Stegostoma tigrinum: one gene and its partner. The protein of the gene in region 1 interacts with the protein of each later gene in a biochemical or structural test. Links are inferred from orthologs where the notes say so. Each region holds a gene or a part of one and is shown in the gene's direction. Other genes may lie near its edges.

What was found.
Region 2: the proteins of lrrk1 (region 1) and foxp1b form a complex in vitro, tested with the Homo sapiens proteins (2 studies listed by BioGRID and IntAct, with this or other methods). The link is inferred for Stegostoma tigrinum from reciprocal best matches to the Homo sapiens genes LRRK1 and FOXP1.

The regions. Positions count from the first base shown.
Region 1 is NC_081386.1:1,579,757-1,587,547, reverse strand, and holds the start of lrrk1 (leucine-rich repeat serine/threonine-protein kinase 1), read left to right. Parts: upstream 1-4,549; 5' UTR 4,550-4,649; intron 4,650-7,791.
Region 2 is NC_081364.1:41,371,683-41,379,780, forward strand, and holds the start of foxp1b (forkhead box protein P1-B), read left to right. Parts: upstream 1-4,851; 5' UTR 4,852-5,129; intron 5,130-8,098. UniProt on the Homo sapiens protein: Transcriptional repressor. Can act with CTBP1 to synergistically repress transcription but CTPBP1 is not essential. Plays an important role in the specification and differentiation of lung epithelium.

The DNA.
Region 1 (7,791 bases):
TGATGAAACATCAATTGTGAAGGGATTTCCATCCACAGTGCAGAGTGTGCTCATAAAGCCTACACTCAGCAACCTATTGTCTAACCATTCTGAAACACAGGACATTCTTCTTCAAAATGAGAGGAGAATGAAAGTGCTACACAACGACCGAGCAAGTAGAGAATTAACAAGACCGTGCACTGGAAGAGAAAGTGAATTAGAAATACAAATCCAAATACTTGGATATAGGCAAAACTTTCTAATATGTACAAACAGGTCAGATCATATAAAGTCATTTACTGATCATGGTGCTATATTGTGAAGGAACAGAAGTCAGCTCAGGCCAATGTACAAATCACTGACCATAGTTGAAGAGAACGAGGAAGAACACTCTGATGATAATATGTAGAATGATAGCAATGAACAGCAAGACAACCAAGTTTTCAAAAATGTCTAACAGAAAACAACAAGTATGTCTCCAGTTGCAGACACGATCACCAGATCAGGACTAGTTATCAAACCTCAAAAGCATTACATTGCTTTCTGAAATGTTAGTCTTGCAAACTCTGTTTTACATTGTCTATATGATTATTCAATTAACAACACATAGATCATAGATCATAGATTCCCTACAGTGTGGAAACGGGCCCTTCGGCCCAATAAGTCCACACCGAGCCCCACAGCATCTCACCCAGATCCACCCCACATAACCCACCTAATCTACACATCCCTGAACATGACGGATGGAATCAAACCTGGTTCCTTTGCACTGTGAGGTTGCAGTTCTAAACACTGCGACACCATGCCGTCCCATTAATTGATGAAAACAACTGTCGCCAGGCAAAAGCAAGCTCAACATTCAGCAGACTCATCCATAGAAATCCATAGAAACCCTAACCCTATCGCAGCCTCTCTGATGAAGGGTCTAGGCCCGAAGCGTCAGCTTTTGTGCTCCTGAGATGCTGCTTGGCCTGCTGTGTTCATCCAGCCTCACATTTTATTATCATAGAAATCATGGAGTTGGTTTTGAAACATATATCAAAATTTACCAGGCAGCAGTCATCACATGCTCATGTAAAACCATGTTCATCTATTTGATTTTGCTTTGTCTTAGGAAAAGGGCGGTGTTGTGTTACATACCAGAATCAGCATGTCAGCATTTTTTTTAGATTAATTCCCTACAGTGTGGAAACAGGCCTTTCGGCCCAACAAGTCCACACTGCCACTTGAAGCATCCCACCGAGGCCCATCTCCCTATAACCCACACACCCCTGAACACTACGGACAATTTAGCATGGCTGAGCCACCTAGCCTGCACATCAGTGAACTGTGGAAGGAAACTGGGGCACCCGGAGGAAACCCACGCAGACACAGGGAGAATGTGCAAACTCCACACAGACAGTCATGCGAGGTGGGAATCAAACCCGCGTCCCTGGTGCTGTGAGGCTGCAGTGCTAACCACTGAGCCACCGTGCCGCCCTAAAACATGACTTCCTGAGGCTGAGCACTAACCGGACCAGGAAATATAGGCTGCCTCCAGACTTGAACTCGGATCGCAGTGTTCAGAAACCCACGTGCTCACCATTACACCATGGCAGCCGGAGCGTGTTTTTAAGAGATTTGCTAATGATATCATCACTGTTTCATTGCATATGACAAGAGTACAAATGTCTCATCCTCCATCTACCTTGGATCACTTGAAGCATGACGCTCCACTAGAAGCATGCTCCTCTGATGTAACCTAATAGCTTAATATTAGCACTGACACATATATGCCTGAGAAATGTAATATTTATACCTAATAGTTATAATAAACATCTGCTAGATTCTTCAATACTATGTTTCAGTTAAAATACCGTGCTGACAAACTAGGCATTAGACAAACTAACGCCACATCAGTTGCAATGAGTTGGCACTATATTGGCATAGGGGCTACAAAGTGTGTGGACTGAGTACAGCAGCATTGAGGCTTTCAAGTATCATGAGTGCATTTATGGGCACAGGTAGGAATGGAGAGTAAGTGGAGCTCTGGGGTTAGGTTCAGTGATGAATTTAGGAACACGGTTTGGCATGGATGGGGACGGGTCTACGAGGGGCATGAGGGCTGTTTTATGATATTTTTAAACTTCAACAAATTGCTAAACTCAGAGGATCCTGCCAACTCCACACTTACCGGCCTCTGTGTTTGTCATGCAGCCCATCTTGCATAACACCTGCAAGCCCCAAAATGAAAATCCCGGCTGCCTCCTGGAAATTGTCCTGATTCTAAGCTCTTGACCTAATAGTGAAACTTCAGACTCAGGTCTACATTCTACTGGAGAAAATTCTCCTGAACACGAGTGGAATTCTCTTTCCCCTCTTTGCCCTCTACACTGCTACTAGCCAGTCTATATTTGTACAATTAAAGCCCTCTACTCTCTAAAATTTCTTTGGGAATTTGTTTTGCTGCAACTTTCCCGTTAGTTGGTAGTCAGAAGAACTACCAAAGCAAAGTAATCGCACAGTTTTTTTGTTCCTTAACTCTAACCAAATTGATTCTGTCCTTGACCCCTTTGGGACATTCTCATTTTCCAGCACTGAAATGCTCTTCTTGATTAATACCAACAGACCTTCCCTTTTCACAGTTTCCTCTCTTTCATGATCAGCTTGTATTCAGGAATATTAAACACCCAGTCTGGATGTTCCTTAAGACAGGTCTCTGCATATGTCCATAATACCAAACTTCCACATGACAATCTGTGCCTATCAACCTATTTACTACACTCTATGCGTTCCCATACATGCTTACTGACCTTGACTTAAACTATATTACTTTCTTCTTTATTCTCAACTCACCTGATAATTTACTCTTTCCCAGAATTTGTGCACCTTGATAGTCTTCTGTGATATCAGTTCCTGGTTCCCACACTCTCTTCATCCACTTTTTTTTCTTTGTCTTATTCCTTTCTTCCTCTTCTTTTCTCAGTTTTTAGTTTTAGCTCAAACTTACCTGATAAAGAGAGCTCTTCAGTAGGAAGGCATTTTCAATAAGCTCCAGAGCGGAGGCAGCATCTTCAGAGGCAAACTTCAGGTAAGTTTGAGCTAAAACTAAAAACTGAGAGAAGAAGAGGAAGAAAGGAATAAGACAAAGAAAAAAAGTGGATGAAGAGAGTGTGGGAACCAGGAACTAATATCACAGAAGACTATCAAGGTGTCTACAGAGTCGGCCAGCCTATGAAGCCTGCAGTGGGCCCCTGGGGGGGTGGGGGGGTGGCAGCACGGCACAGGCTGGTGTAGTACGGAGTGAGACTTTGGCAGCGGCATGGCATGTGCTGGGAAACCTGGAGCATGACTTGGGTGGCGGTAAGGCATGGCAGGGAAGCCCAGAGTGGGATTTTGAAAGCGGCATGCTATGGACTGGTGAAGCAGAGAAGGAAAAGTTGGGCTCTCTTTAAGTTATCTTTCTTCACTTTTTATTTCAAATGAATGTGAATGGTGTCTATGCATGGCAAAGGTACACACTTTTCACTGTATTTTATACTGAATACATGTGACAATAAATGATTTGCTTCAATTCACTTCAGATCAAAGGAGGCAGACCCTGACAGGGGCCAAGGGCAAACAGTGGAAGGAACGTGCAAAGATTTAAGTGTCTCAGCCATCCATTCACCAGCTTCAGCAAACAGCACTGTCCCAACTACAAAAGGCTTTGTGGATCCAGCACTGGACTTTTTACTTACTTCAGGACCCACAACACCAGAACAGAAGATCATGTCCAGAGTGTGTCTTGATGGACAGAATCCATGTTGTGGCAGAGGGAAGAGCTGTCATTCTCGATTCTGAAGGACTGCCTGAGGAGAAGGATATGAAATTGACTGAGAAAAGGTTCTAGTTTGACCTTGTTGGCTGGAAACAAATGCTGAAGAAAAAGTGAATCTTTAAAGCCAAGTGGAAGTCATCTCCTGACAAATTGTTTTTCAAAAAGATGTGCTTGTCCAAAGGAATTGTTTGGGATGCTAGGGAAAGGTAATGTTGCTTTTTGATGGTTCAAGAGATTAAGGTCATTAACAGTCCCATTGAGCTCACCTGAGGGAGCTGGGAATCCCATTTTCCCAAAGCACTTTCCTTGGGATTCCTTTTTCAGCTGGTTTGAGGTGATAGACCTGGCACTGTCTATGGGCACTGTGTAGATCTGCTCGTTCCAATGTCAAATGCTGCTAGTGAGAATTACAGCACCAGGGGCAGCTCTTTGAGGAATTTGACAGTCATTCCATTACAGGAAAGGTGATGACAGAGGTGAGATGTCGATGGTGGACAATGTCAACGGATGGTAGAATCAGGAGGTGAGTCTGTAAGAGACGGATTTGAGTCTCTGCAGGCAATGAAACTGAGAAAGGTTGAAGATGGAGAGGAAGAGAGGAGAGAAGCTAATGAGTGAGGGGGTAAATTGGTGGAAGGTGGAGACTGGAAGAGGGGAGAGTCGGAGGAGGGGTGTGGGGACGCTGAGGGAGGGAGATAGGCGAAGGCAGAGGGAGGTGGGACTGAACCTGACGCTGACTCCTCCCTGGGCACTGTCCTGAACTCGTGTCTCCACCCACATCCTCTTTCTCACTTCCTCATTGCGATCTGTGACTCAAAAGAAAGTGGACCGTCGGTAGGTTCCCGGTCTGGCCGTGTCTCCGGCTCCGCAGGTAAGGGGAGCCGCAGCTTAATGTTGGGTTTCTGACAGTGCTTGATTCGGACTAAGCTCTGCTTTGTAAAGACCCCCGTTGTTAGCAGTTTGCCTGAGGAGCAGGTTGTTTCACGTTGACTCACAGGCTGTAAACCTGCGGTTAAAGTTTTGGGAAAGATTGCTCAATGCACAACGTTTCAAAACATTGTGTAGTACCCGACAAATAGGTGCTAATTTCAAATTTTAGGATAACCAGGAGATCAATACGTTACCAGAAAATTCATTTTAATTTTCACGCCAGTTGTTTATGTTTTATATAATTCATTCACGGAGCGTGGGCGTCACTGGCTATACCAGTATTTATTACCTATGCCTAATTGCCTAGAGGGCAGTTAAGAGTCAATACTAGGGAGATAGCAAGAACTGCAGATGCCGGAATCACACTGCGGTGTGGTGGTGGAGGAACCCGGCAGACCAGGCAGCATCGGAGCAGTAGGGAAGTTGACGTTTCAGGTCAGGACCCTGGATCTGGAGTCACATGTAGGCCAGACCTGGTGGTCTAAATTCAGACTATTCTCCAGTTCTTGCTTGAAATGATTAGCAGTAATAGCTTATGGGGTTGGTTAATACTCTTGTTATTTATAATTTCTTCATAGTGATTTGGGGGTTAGATCACAGGTCAATCCGGTGTTTGGCTATAAGATGTAGGGGCAAAATTAGGCCACCTGGCCCCATAAATCAGCTCCACCAGTTGATCATGTTTCTCAAATCCATTCTTCAGCCTTCTCCCTGTAATCTTTGGTCCCCTTTACAGATCAAGAACTAAGTCTGACTTAAATACAACAGTACATATTGGAAGTATAGGACAAGTTGAATCTGACCACAGATAGTGATCAAGTCTGTTTTCACCAACATCCATATATCCACACATCTCAGCTGGGTACTCGAGTTTACTCCCTCAGTCCAAAGATGTGCAGGCTAAGTGGATTGGCCGTGCTAAATTGCCCATAGTGTTCAAGGATGTGTAGATTAGGTGGGTTTGGGGAATGAGTCTGGGTGGGATTCTCTGAGGGTCATTGTGGACTTGTTAGGCCACTGTAGAAATTCTATGGATCAGCAACATGAACTAAGCGTAGGTGTTCGACAAAGCTTTGTGGAACATCTAGGCTTGGTTCATGACAAATGACTGCACCTCCCAGTCGCTAACCGCTTCAACTCCCCTTCCCATTCCTTGGACGACATGTCCATCTGGGCCGCCTCCAGTACCACAACGATGCCCCCGAAGGCTGCAGGAATTGCACCTCATATTTAGTCTGGGAACCCTGCGGCTCAATGGAGTCAATGTGGACTTCGCGAGCTTCAACATCTCCCTTCCCCTGACCTCATTCCAAAACCAGCTCAGCTCATGTCTGCCTCATTGACTTGTCTGTCTTTTCTCCCACCTATTTGCTCCTTCCATCTCACTGATCAACCCTCATCCCTGCCTCCTTGACCTGTTTGTGCTCCCTCAACTGAGCAATCCCCATCCCAAATCCCTACGTACACTCAACTTTACTGGCTCAGTCCCTGCTGCCTCGACCTGTCTGTCTTCTCTCCACCTATCTGCTCCTTTATCCAACTTCCATCATCGCCTCCCCACCTCTCGTTCTTTTTTCATTGTCCCCTATCCCTCCCCCATTTCTGAAGAAGGGTTCAGACCCAAAATGTCAGCTTTCTTGCTCCTCTGATGTTGCCTGGCCTGTTGTGTTCATCCAGCTCTACACCTTGTTATCTTTAACTAGCAACTGTTTTTATTACTTGAGAGGATTGTGGCTCTAAACTGCCCACACTTCTGGAGCTGTGAACCTTATCTCTAGCACAAATGGGACATGTCAGATTAATTATAGCCTCATAAATCTTCATCAAGATAAGAATGGGGAAAAGTAGAGTGGCTAGAAGCAGCTAAATAATAGTCTTAATCTTAGTGACAGAGAAGTTGCTGAACTCTTGGACTTACTGGAGGGAATTTAAGGAGCTCAGAATGGAGTTGAGGAGATAGTAATGCAGAAAAGGAGTAGGGTTAATTTTGTTCTCCATAATGGTACTGGTTAATAAGTGAATGGCCACACAGGGATTGATGTGGCCCAGCTAGATCTGATGATGAATTGCTAAACTAGTTCTGTGTTGGACCTATTCAAGTCTGTGTCCTTTCTGATTGTGTGAATAAAGATGGGACAATATTAGAAAATACTAATAAAGAATTTTTTTTACAACTGGAATTGCTGCTAAATAGGGAGATAGCGAAGTAACTAAGCACTTGGACAGTAGTGGAAATATCCTGGTGAATAGGCCGCTTAAGGGTTTGAAAAAGTTGCTTCCACGGTGAATGCAGAAGGATGTTGCTTGAGAAAGTGGAAGTGGAGCATGGGTTGCACGAGAAAGTGAACAGAAATTCTCACTAATGTTCTGTGGTCGAGACAACGAAACTGGAGAAGCTGGGAAGCTGGAAAGGACAAGGGAATGGCCATGACTCTGTGAAAGTTAGAGACAGAGGATGGCAGTGAGATCAAAGAGAAACGGCAATATTGTGGATTGAGGTCGAAATCCATACAGTCTGAATTGTGTCTTAGTATAGGGAACAAGGGGGAAAAAAAGATTGAAGGAATGTCTTTGAGAGAACCTTTGAGTGAATGGGAGAGTGTGAACATTTTGGAAGGGGTATGGTGGAAGTGTGAGGACCTCAAAGGAGGAGAAGGTGCCTTGAGCATTTAGTGGGAACAATCAAGGTACTTTGGAGTGCAGGTACATAGTTCCTTGCAGTTGGAGTTGCAGGGACACAAGATTGTGAAGAAGGCTTTTAGCATGCTTGCATTGAGTATAGAAATTGAGCTAACAAGGTGCGGAGCTGGATGAACGCAGCAGGCCAAGCAGCATCTTAGGACCAGGAAAGCTGACATTTCGGGCCTTCATCAGAAATGGGGGAGGGGAAGAGGGTTCTGAAATAAATAGGCAGAGAGGGGGAGGTGGATTGAAGATGGATAGAGGAGGAGTTGCAGTGGGAGAGAAATCCCCTGAGGTTTGTTCGGAGGGTGGAGGGTAACTTCTTCAGGTTAGGCATTCTTACAAGATGCTTCGCAGTGGGGTATTGTTACGGCTGTACGGAATATTGGTTAGGCCACTTT
Region 2 (8,098 bases), on another chromosome or scaffold:
AGTGTCCTGCTAAGCAATATGGTATGATAAAAATGTAATACTTGCATCCTCAGGCATTTTATTCTCTTTGTAGTCAGTAAGATGATGTAGATTTGCATGTACCGTTTTGTTTGGTGTTGGCTATATGATCAATAGGAACATTTGCACAGCTGCAAAATTATAGAGTGGCTTTAGGCTGTGAAGTTGTTGATAAAGCAATAGATGAAATTAACAAATTAAAGAAGCAATAGGGAAACTAATGAAGATAAAATTTATAAATAAAATAAATTTAAAAGTAATAAGATATAAACAAAGATGTATAATGAAACTGACAAAAAACTAATTTTTTTCAACTTTTGTTAAATATAGAATTGGAAGTAACATTAAGTCTATTAGCTTCTGAAAAGAGATAAGGAAAAATAACAATAAATTATTACATTGTTGATTACCAACATTTTAGATGTCTGTCAAAATTTACAATGTGTTAGCCTCTAAATTCTATTGTTGCTTTATATGTATGTGGAAATTATTATTTTTAAACATTGAACAAACTTTATTAAGTGAGGAGAAATTTTCTTTTCAAATTCAATGATGATATTGCCACACAGAGAAAATACCCTACTAGGTTCTGTGAAATTGTTATCTCTAGATTTTCATTGATATAATCATGGCACGCCTACAGTCAAACACTTGTTATATGTATGAGTTTCTTTTCAGACAATGAGACGTTTTATTTGGAGAAAGGATGTATATTCTGTTTATATATTGTTGGTTTACCTCTGCTAAATAAGCAAGAAACAATGGAAGGGTACTGGGATAGGAATGAAGGAAAACTGAAAGAATATGGGAAGAAACAAAGGTTATACGGTGAATCAAAAATCTGGAGGAATATGCTTTTCATGAACATCAAGCGTTATGGAATATTAGTTTATATTGTATGGTTGCAATCCTGCTTATTTGAGAAAATGTAAAGAAATTTAATTCACCAGGCCCCAGGAATCCCAGCTTCCACATCTACTCTTTTAAGTAGTCCAGCAGTCATTAATCCCTCTTGTGCTCTCAAATGGTTGCAAGACCGAATGAACACATCATGGGGGCATGAGTGTTTTAGCTGCAAGGGCACTTTCCCTGGATAGATTTAAGGAAAGTCCTGTACATACCCTGTTTGCCAGAGCATCAGGGATGGTGTAATGTTATCCACTGAGATGAAATTCAGGAAGTAAACAATCTGGCCGATCCATAACCTACAGCCTTTGGTGAGACTACCTTTTCAAAGTGTAAATTGTTAAAAGGTAAGATTGTAAGAAAATTCAAATGAAATGTGAGTAAAAAATTTTCAAAAACGTTAAACAAGTCGATAAAAGGGTGAAAAAATTAAGTTGGTGCATGTTTCGGGAAGATGCCCAGCCGTAAATGTTACTTTATCCGCGGTCCTCTCCCTTGAGTTGCATAAATGACCACAACATCAACACGTTCCCTACATGCTGGTATATCCAAAGAGCAAAATCATTCCCGTCAGCGAATAGTTTTGAACAATGAATCCATCCCGAATATTAAACCATTTTTGGTGCAGCATTAATGTAATGTAGTAAGCATGGGGTGGAGAACAAGTACATCGCTTGACAATATAACAGACTGCCCATACAACTCACACTAACTCCACGTATACCAGCCTAAATTGATGCCTGGCTATGTAGGTACAGTATGAGCACAAATAACAACATATAGAATTAGGGTATGCCACTACTGGAGCTTGTGTCTATAAAAAGATCTACATTTCTGGACGTCAATCACGGATGTAGTCTATAGAGGTCAACATTCACAATCCCGATTGAGTACCGATACCATTTGAAGAACCGTATGCTATACAGTTGGACGTCCATGTAGGTAAAACCCACAACAATTTAACGCTAATTTACAAAACATCGTCGATACCCCTTCAGAAAAGTTAAAATGCTCCCTGCGATGTATCCGGGCATAAAGCGCTATTCTTCATAATCATTTTAAAGAGTGGTATAAGCATTAAGCGAGCCAGAGGGGTCAGGGAAAATCAGACTGCACAAGGTTATTCCGAACGATTTACTCCCGGAGATGCGTACCATATGGTTAACATCTCTAGAATACTACAGATGTGGAAGACTGAATGGACACCAAGCATGCTTAATACATGAATTAATCTTTGCAGAAAATCTTTACAACATTCGCGGCTGAAACAAAACTCAATTACTTTGCAACCGTAAGTACCATGGAGACCAGAACAATGGAAATGAAATATCGCGAAAACCCATTTGTCCGATTTTAAAATAGTTTTCACTGGAATTTTAAGATTTTGAAATAAAAATGCAGTTATTGTACGAGGAAAACCCCTCCATGTAATATGATATAATTTGCGAAACCATCCATCAGATGTTCGGTTGATCTTAATGCTATAAAACCAAATACGCTGAATTGGTATAGTTTCATTTCGAATAGAAAAAAATTAAATATAGAATTAATGGCATCATTGAAAAAGAGTCTCATCATGTAACGATGAAATGAGTTGAAAATGCAGTTATCAAATCAGGCATGTGTTTTTTTGAGAAAAGATTTTGAGTCGAAACGCCCATAAAGTACACAGAAATGATAGTTGGATTAACTTTGCAATAAAGTTTAACATTTAGCTTGCATGCCGAATTTGTTTGTTATTATCTCGTTATTTGTTGCCGCTCCGTGCTTGTGCTTTGCATTTCAAAACAACAACAAATTAAAATCAGCAGCCAGGTAAGTCCAACAGGCTGAATTTAGAACCGCTAAATCTCCACACAGTTATCCGAAACGTACAGGGACGGTCACAATTTGATGGAAATCGGATTGAACCGTCGGCACATTCTTTGCGTTTAGGGACGGACATCGCAGTCAGAAACGGTGTTAGGAATTTGCTCGGAAGGGGTTCAGGAAAAGTGCAGTCAATTCAAACGAGCTGGGTTACTTTCTGCTATTCGAAGCTATTCGTTAGGTGGGGGATATATCCCAACGATTTTCGGTTTCCACCTTGTTAACAAGGAGGGGATTTAGTTTATTTGGTGTACAATGGGCTAGTATTTACATAGCTGGGAAGATCTGCGGGGTTCGCCAGAAGATTCATGACTCACGATTTTAACAGTTGTCCAGGTATTTGATGTGATAAACACGTCGTGGATTGGCTTCAACTGGCTCTATAATTGCATTCAAAGTAATAACTTTAATAAAAAGCATTCCTTGTATAATTTGAATGAAACCTAAATGTGACAATATTATCATTAGATTATAAGAATTCTGACTTTTTGTTCTTTTCAATCATGACGCCTACACGCATGAAATATTTATAATATTCCTAACTTTGTACCATTTCATCTGCATCGAAACGCGCTCAAATAATACTGCCATTCTATGTGCATTATTTCCTCCTTGGCGCTTCCCGATTTTTTTTTTGTAACCAGGGGATGGCGTTCCAGGCTCTTCATCTGCACAAATCCATCTCTGAGTAGAACGGAGACTTGAGAAATCCGCCACTCTTCAGCACGGCCTCTGATGGTCCCTGTAATAAATTAAGCGTCATTTATAAATAAATTTATACCTCTGCATTTCAGTCCTTGATCAAGGACAGGCAAGGTTTCAGAAAGATTTCAGTTAAATTGCAGATTAATGTTACGTTCTGGAAGTGTTAATTGGACTACTGAACCGATTCGCAAGCATTTTTTCAAGAAAAGAAAAATCGCCCCATCGGGTTCGTAATTAATGTTATTATTATAAGGCTATCAAGGAAAAAATCTCGCAGTTTGGTGTGCTCGATTGTTTCGGGAAGAGTTATATGTCAATTCCAGTAGTCAGCAGAGTCACAATGTATCAGAGGACGGGTCTTGAAAGGAGACTGAAGGTTTAGAGGACTCTATCCTACTCCGCTATGGTGGAGTTAAGGCTGATCACACCCAGGCAATCATATCAAAGAGGATCCTCTCCGTTCGCCAAAGAGCTCAAATATTGGCACCACAAAGGTGCACAACAAATCGTGAATAGGAAACGACATAAATTACAAGTTACAAACTTTACCCTCTGCATCTTACCCCCTACCAACAACTTTATTTTGTTATTTTACTCGGACTAAACAATAAGTAAACGCTCCTGGCCGTGTTGACTGAATGAGAAAGAGACACACAGAGAGAGAAAAAAAATGACACGTGCAGACCGGCACTTCGCAGCTTGTCCTCGTTTTGCTTTGAACTGGTCAGTGGAGTAAGATAACAGTAGGTTTGGCACTCCACAGATTGACAATTTCTACTTCCTGACAGGGTTGTCCTCTTGCTGAACTTTCACCTCCCGAACCCAACTGCCTTCATTGGCCAGAGAGCACCGAGCGAGCCGAGCCGAGGTGGGGGGAAGAGGAGCGCAGCGCTGCGTCTCCCGGAGTCGGGTTGGGCTGCTTGGCCCAGCAGCTGTCTGCTACAGAGAGAGAGTGGAGCGCTCTCTCTCTCACACACACACTTTCAACATTTCCACAATCACTTTCATTGCTCCTTCAGAGCCCAGAAATGAGAGAGACGGTGAGGTTTTTTTGGTGATTAGACAGAGGACGGGGAGGGGGTTTGTAGTGACTGCTTTATTTGTGGTGCTCACGCCAAAGTTGCTGTAGCCGCCCTGTACTGCAAGCAGAGATCCTGAAGCAAGCAGCAGCTTCCCCCCTCCCCTTCTCTGAAAAGCTCTGATACATGTTGTTTACACAGCAGGTGGATATGACGTCAGGGGCCAGCTTACAGCAAAAAATAACAACATCCAACTCCGCGATTTGTATCTTCCAACCCCCCCTCCACACACACACACAAACCACTACTCCAACAAAAAAAACTCATTAAGTTCGCTAGAATTGTGAATAATGAAAAGTGGAAGGGGAAAGCGCTGCGGGAGCATAGGGAAAGATCTGATCAAGTGTTGAGCTCGGTCCCCGCTTTCTAGTTGGTGCTGAAGGGATTTTTGTGTGTTTGGAAAGCGGCTGCTCTACAACGTAGTGCCCGAGCGGAGTAATATATTGTTATTTATTGTGTGCTTGTTGCATGCTTTCTCGTACACAATCGCATGTGTGTTGCAGGGTCAAATTATCTCCTGGTTGCCCAACAACCTAAAAGCAGCACCAACTGGTAAGTTTGAATTTCATTCTTCTGTCTGTCTCTCTCTCTCCCCCCTTGCCCTTCTCGCTTTCAGGTTTAACTCTTTCGGCTTGGCTTGGCTCTAATTTCCTGCAAAGCCCCACGTGCAGTTTGGGGTGTTTTACAGAGAAGAAAAAAAAATGTTTGTCGTTTGTCAAAGTGGGTTTCGATAAATAATTTGCATTGGCAACGCAGACACAACTGCTGCTGGGGTGGTTGTTGTTGGGGGGGAGGAGGAGGAAGAGGAGGATGTGGGGTGTTAAGCTGAGGTGTGGGAGTCCCCGGGGCTTGTTTTAGCGTGAGGTTATTCACCAAGAGTAGGTCAGTTTGAGGGAGTTGAGTTGCGCGAGGTTTCTCTTTCTCCTCCTGCAATTTCGCTGTTGTTTCCCGTGGAGTAAATCGGCGGAGACTTGACAGGCTGGAGGAGACCGAAAGGGATCTCTCTTCTAGGATCACACCATTCGTGCAGGGGGAAATAGTCACATAGTGTGCGAACCGCACGAGGGAAAAGGGAACTCCTGAAAGTTGTCACTTTTATTTTTTGTCGCCGTCCTGTACTTTTCAGAAAGACTCATGCGAGTTTGGACGGGTTAGGGTTAGCATGTCAGCATCGAGTTACCTAGAAAGTCATCGAAGTTACGGGGGTGGGTGGGGGGAGGTGGAGGAGGTAATTGAGGCTCCGCGGTAATCATGTAGTCATAGTTTAAGCAATCTACGGCATTCTACCGAGTTTTCTCTACTAGAAGTGTATCGGTTTGGGGTGGAGGGTGGTTGCTGGGGCGGGGGTAAGTACAGTAACTTAGTGCGAAGTCTGGCCTCTGTTCGCCAGCTTTTTCAGTGCGGCCCCGAACACACTTCATCGCCACTTTCTCCAGTTGGCGGGCCGCTGGAAGCTCCAACACTGGGAAGTAAAGAAACCCACAGCTCAAGGTGCTGCCGATTTCTGACGTCCTTCAAAAGTTCGATCGAGCAAGAAGCGCGCTGCTGCTAAACCCGGGCAAGTTGTAATTCACACGGCCTCCAGCGTGAGAGAGAGCAAGTCTCCCACCACCTAATCTCCGTAACCGAAACAAGTAGCAGCTCTTTTTTTCTACGTGTTAGAGACACACAGCGCGCAACCTCCTCCTTTCTCTCCCCCCCCATCCCCACCTCTCGCTGGGAGGTGACATTTCCCCACGGGAACAGGAAAGTCCACTCCTCACTGTCCCTGGTACTAGGGGAGGATGAGGTGAGGTGTCCAGCGCTGGTACTACTTGTGGTAGTGGTGGGGATGAGGTGACTTAGAAAGGGGTCGGAGGGGTGAAAGAAGTGGGGTGTTTTCTGCATGAACCCGAAATTTCCCAATACCAAATTGTTTACAGAGATGGAGAGTTGCGCCCAGCACCCACCCACCCCCACTCCAGCTGCATCTGGCGCCTCCGCGACTTTGTTGTTAACTTGGTGTTTGTTTAACTTTTTCTTGTTGATGAAAGGTTGGAGCTGCGGCTGTACGAGTAGCCGCCGAGTCTTTTGTTATGGTAATGCCGGTGTTTGGTCAGATCTTTTCCTGCGAAAACTTTCCTGTCAGAACTGCTCGCGCGCGACAAGCGCTCTCGATCCCCTCTCACAAACACACACAGAATGGAACAGATCTCACGTTTCTTTTTCCCTCAAAAAAAGCGGATCTTCAGTAACACACACACAAAAATAAAACAATTTTTGCATTGGGTCGCATATTTATTCGGCAGCTAATCCCTGACTCAGTTTTTAGCCTGCTCCCCTGAAAGTTTGCTCGCTTGACTTCGCCGAGTTTTGGCGGCTGCTGGGCGGACAATGAGTTTTTTGTGTCTGGCGGGGACGGGTGGGGGGTCGTGCGGGTTGTGTTTAAAGAGGACAGCGTCGATAAAAGCAAGGTACTGCTTCTTATTAAAGACAGGTTCATGACAAAAAAAATGTGGAAAAGCTAAAGTCAACCAAGGTCCTTCCGCGCGCGCGCACACACACATGCACTCTGCCCCCCACCCCCCACGTTTAGGACCTGTTTTTGCAACACCTCTTGTAATTTAGCTTTGGTCACTTCTCATGCCCTCCAAGGTTGTAGGGACTGTAAAGTTGTGTTGGCGGTAGGGTGGGAGTTTTGATGTTTAATGTTAAGCCACAAAGAAGTAGACAAAAATCCACAAAAGTGGAATTCAAACCCCCCCCCCCCCCCCCACCACACACACACACACACACACACACACACAACTCTTCATCTTGGATTACCCAGTGTCTGAGAAAATCGCTCTAAAGCAAACAGCCCGGCGAGAAGCGATCCTTGACAACCCAAGAGCAAAGTCAAACGGCGTGCATATCAAACAAAGTCCGTGCTGGGCGGTTGTCAAGGGTCCGCTCTTCGGGAGGCTTTCAACCGTGAGCACAGGCGTTGCTGTCTCGACGGCTCTCTGCACAACAAACGCCCGCGCACGCAATTGGAAAACCAGAAAGAGGGAGACGATGTGAGTGGAAGCGACCACTTGCTTCACACCAACCCCAAAACCTCCACTGGTCCAGAGGAACTTCAGAAAGTTTCTGTGTTAAGACAAGATTCAACCTTGAAACACCCCAGCATTTGAGTCATCAGAATCCAGTCTGCCTAAGTCCATTCTTAACAAGTTGGGGCATAAGGGATGATTATTTAGACCGAGATTTCGTCTAAGCGTGTCTGTGTAGGCGCATATATAACTTGTATGCAATGAACAGTTTTTAAAAAATCTGCATTATTATTGATAAAATCATATTTATAACCGACATTGTAGTTCGTTTGGTTAAGGAGCCATGATCTAGGCACTGATGATTGGTTTTCGTTGGATCGTGCTGTTGAAGTGCAATTTTGTTATCAGTTGTCAAATAATGGCTGGAATAAAACCAAGCAATACTTTACTAGTACAAAATATAGCATTGCAAAAAATGACTGGTGCAACGCCTGATTTATTTATCTT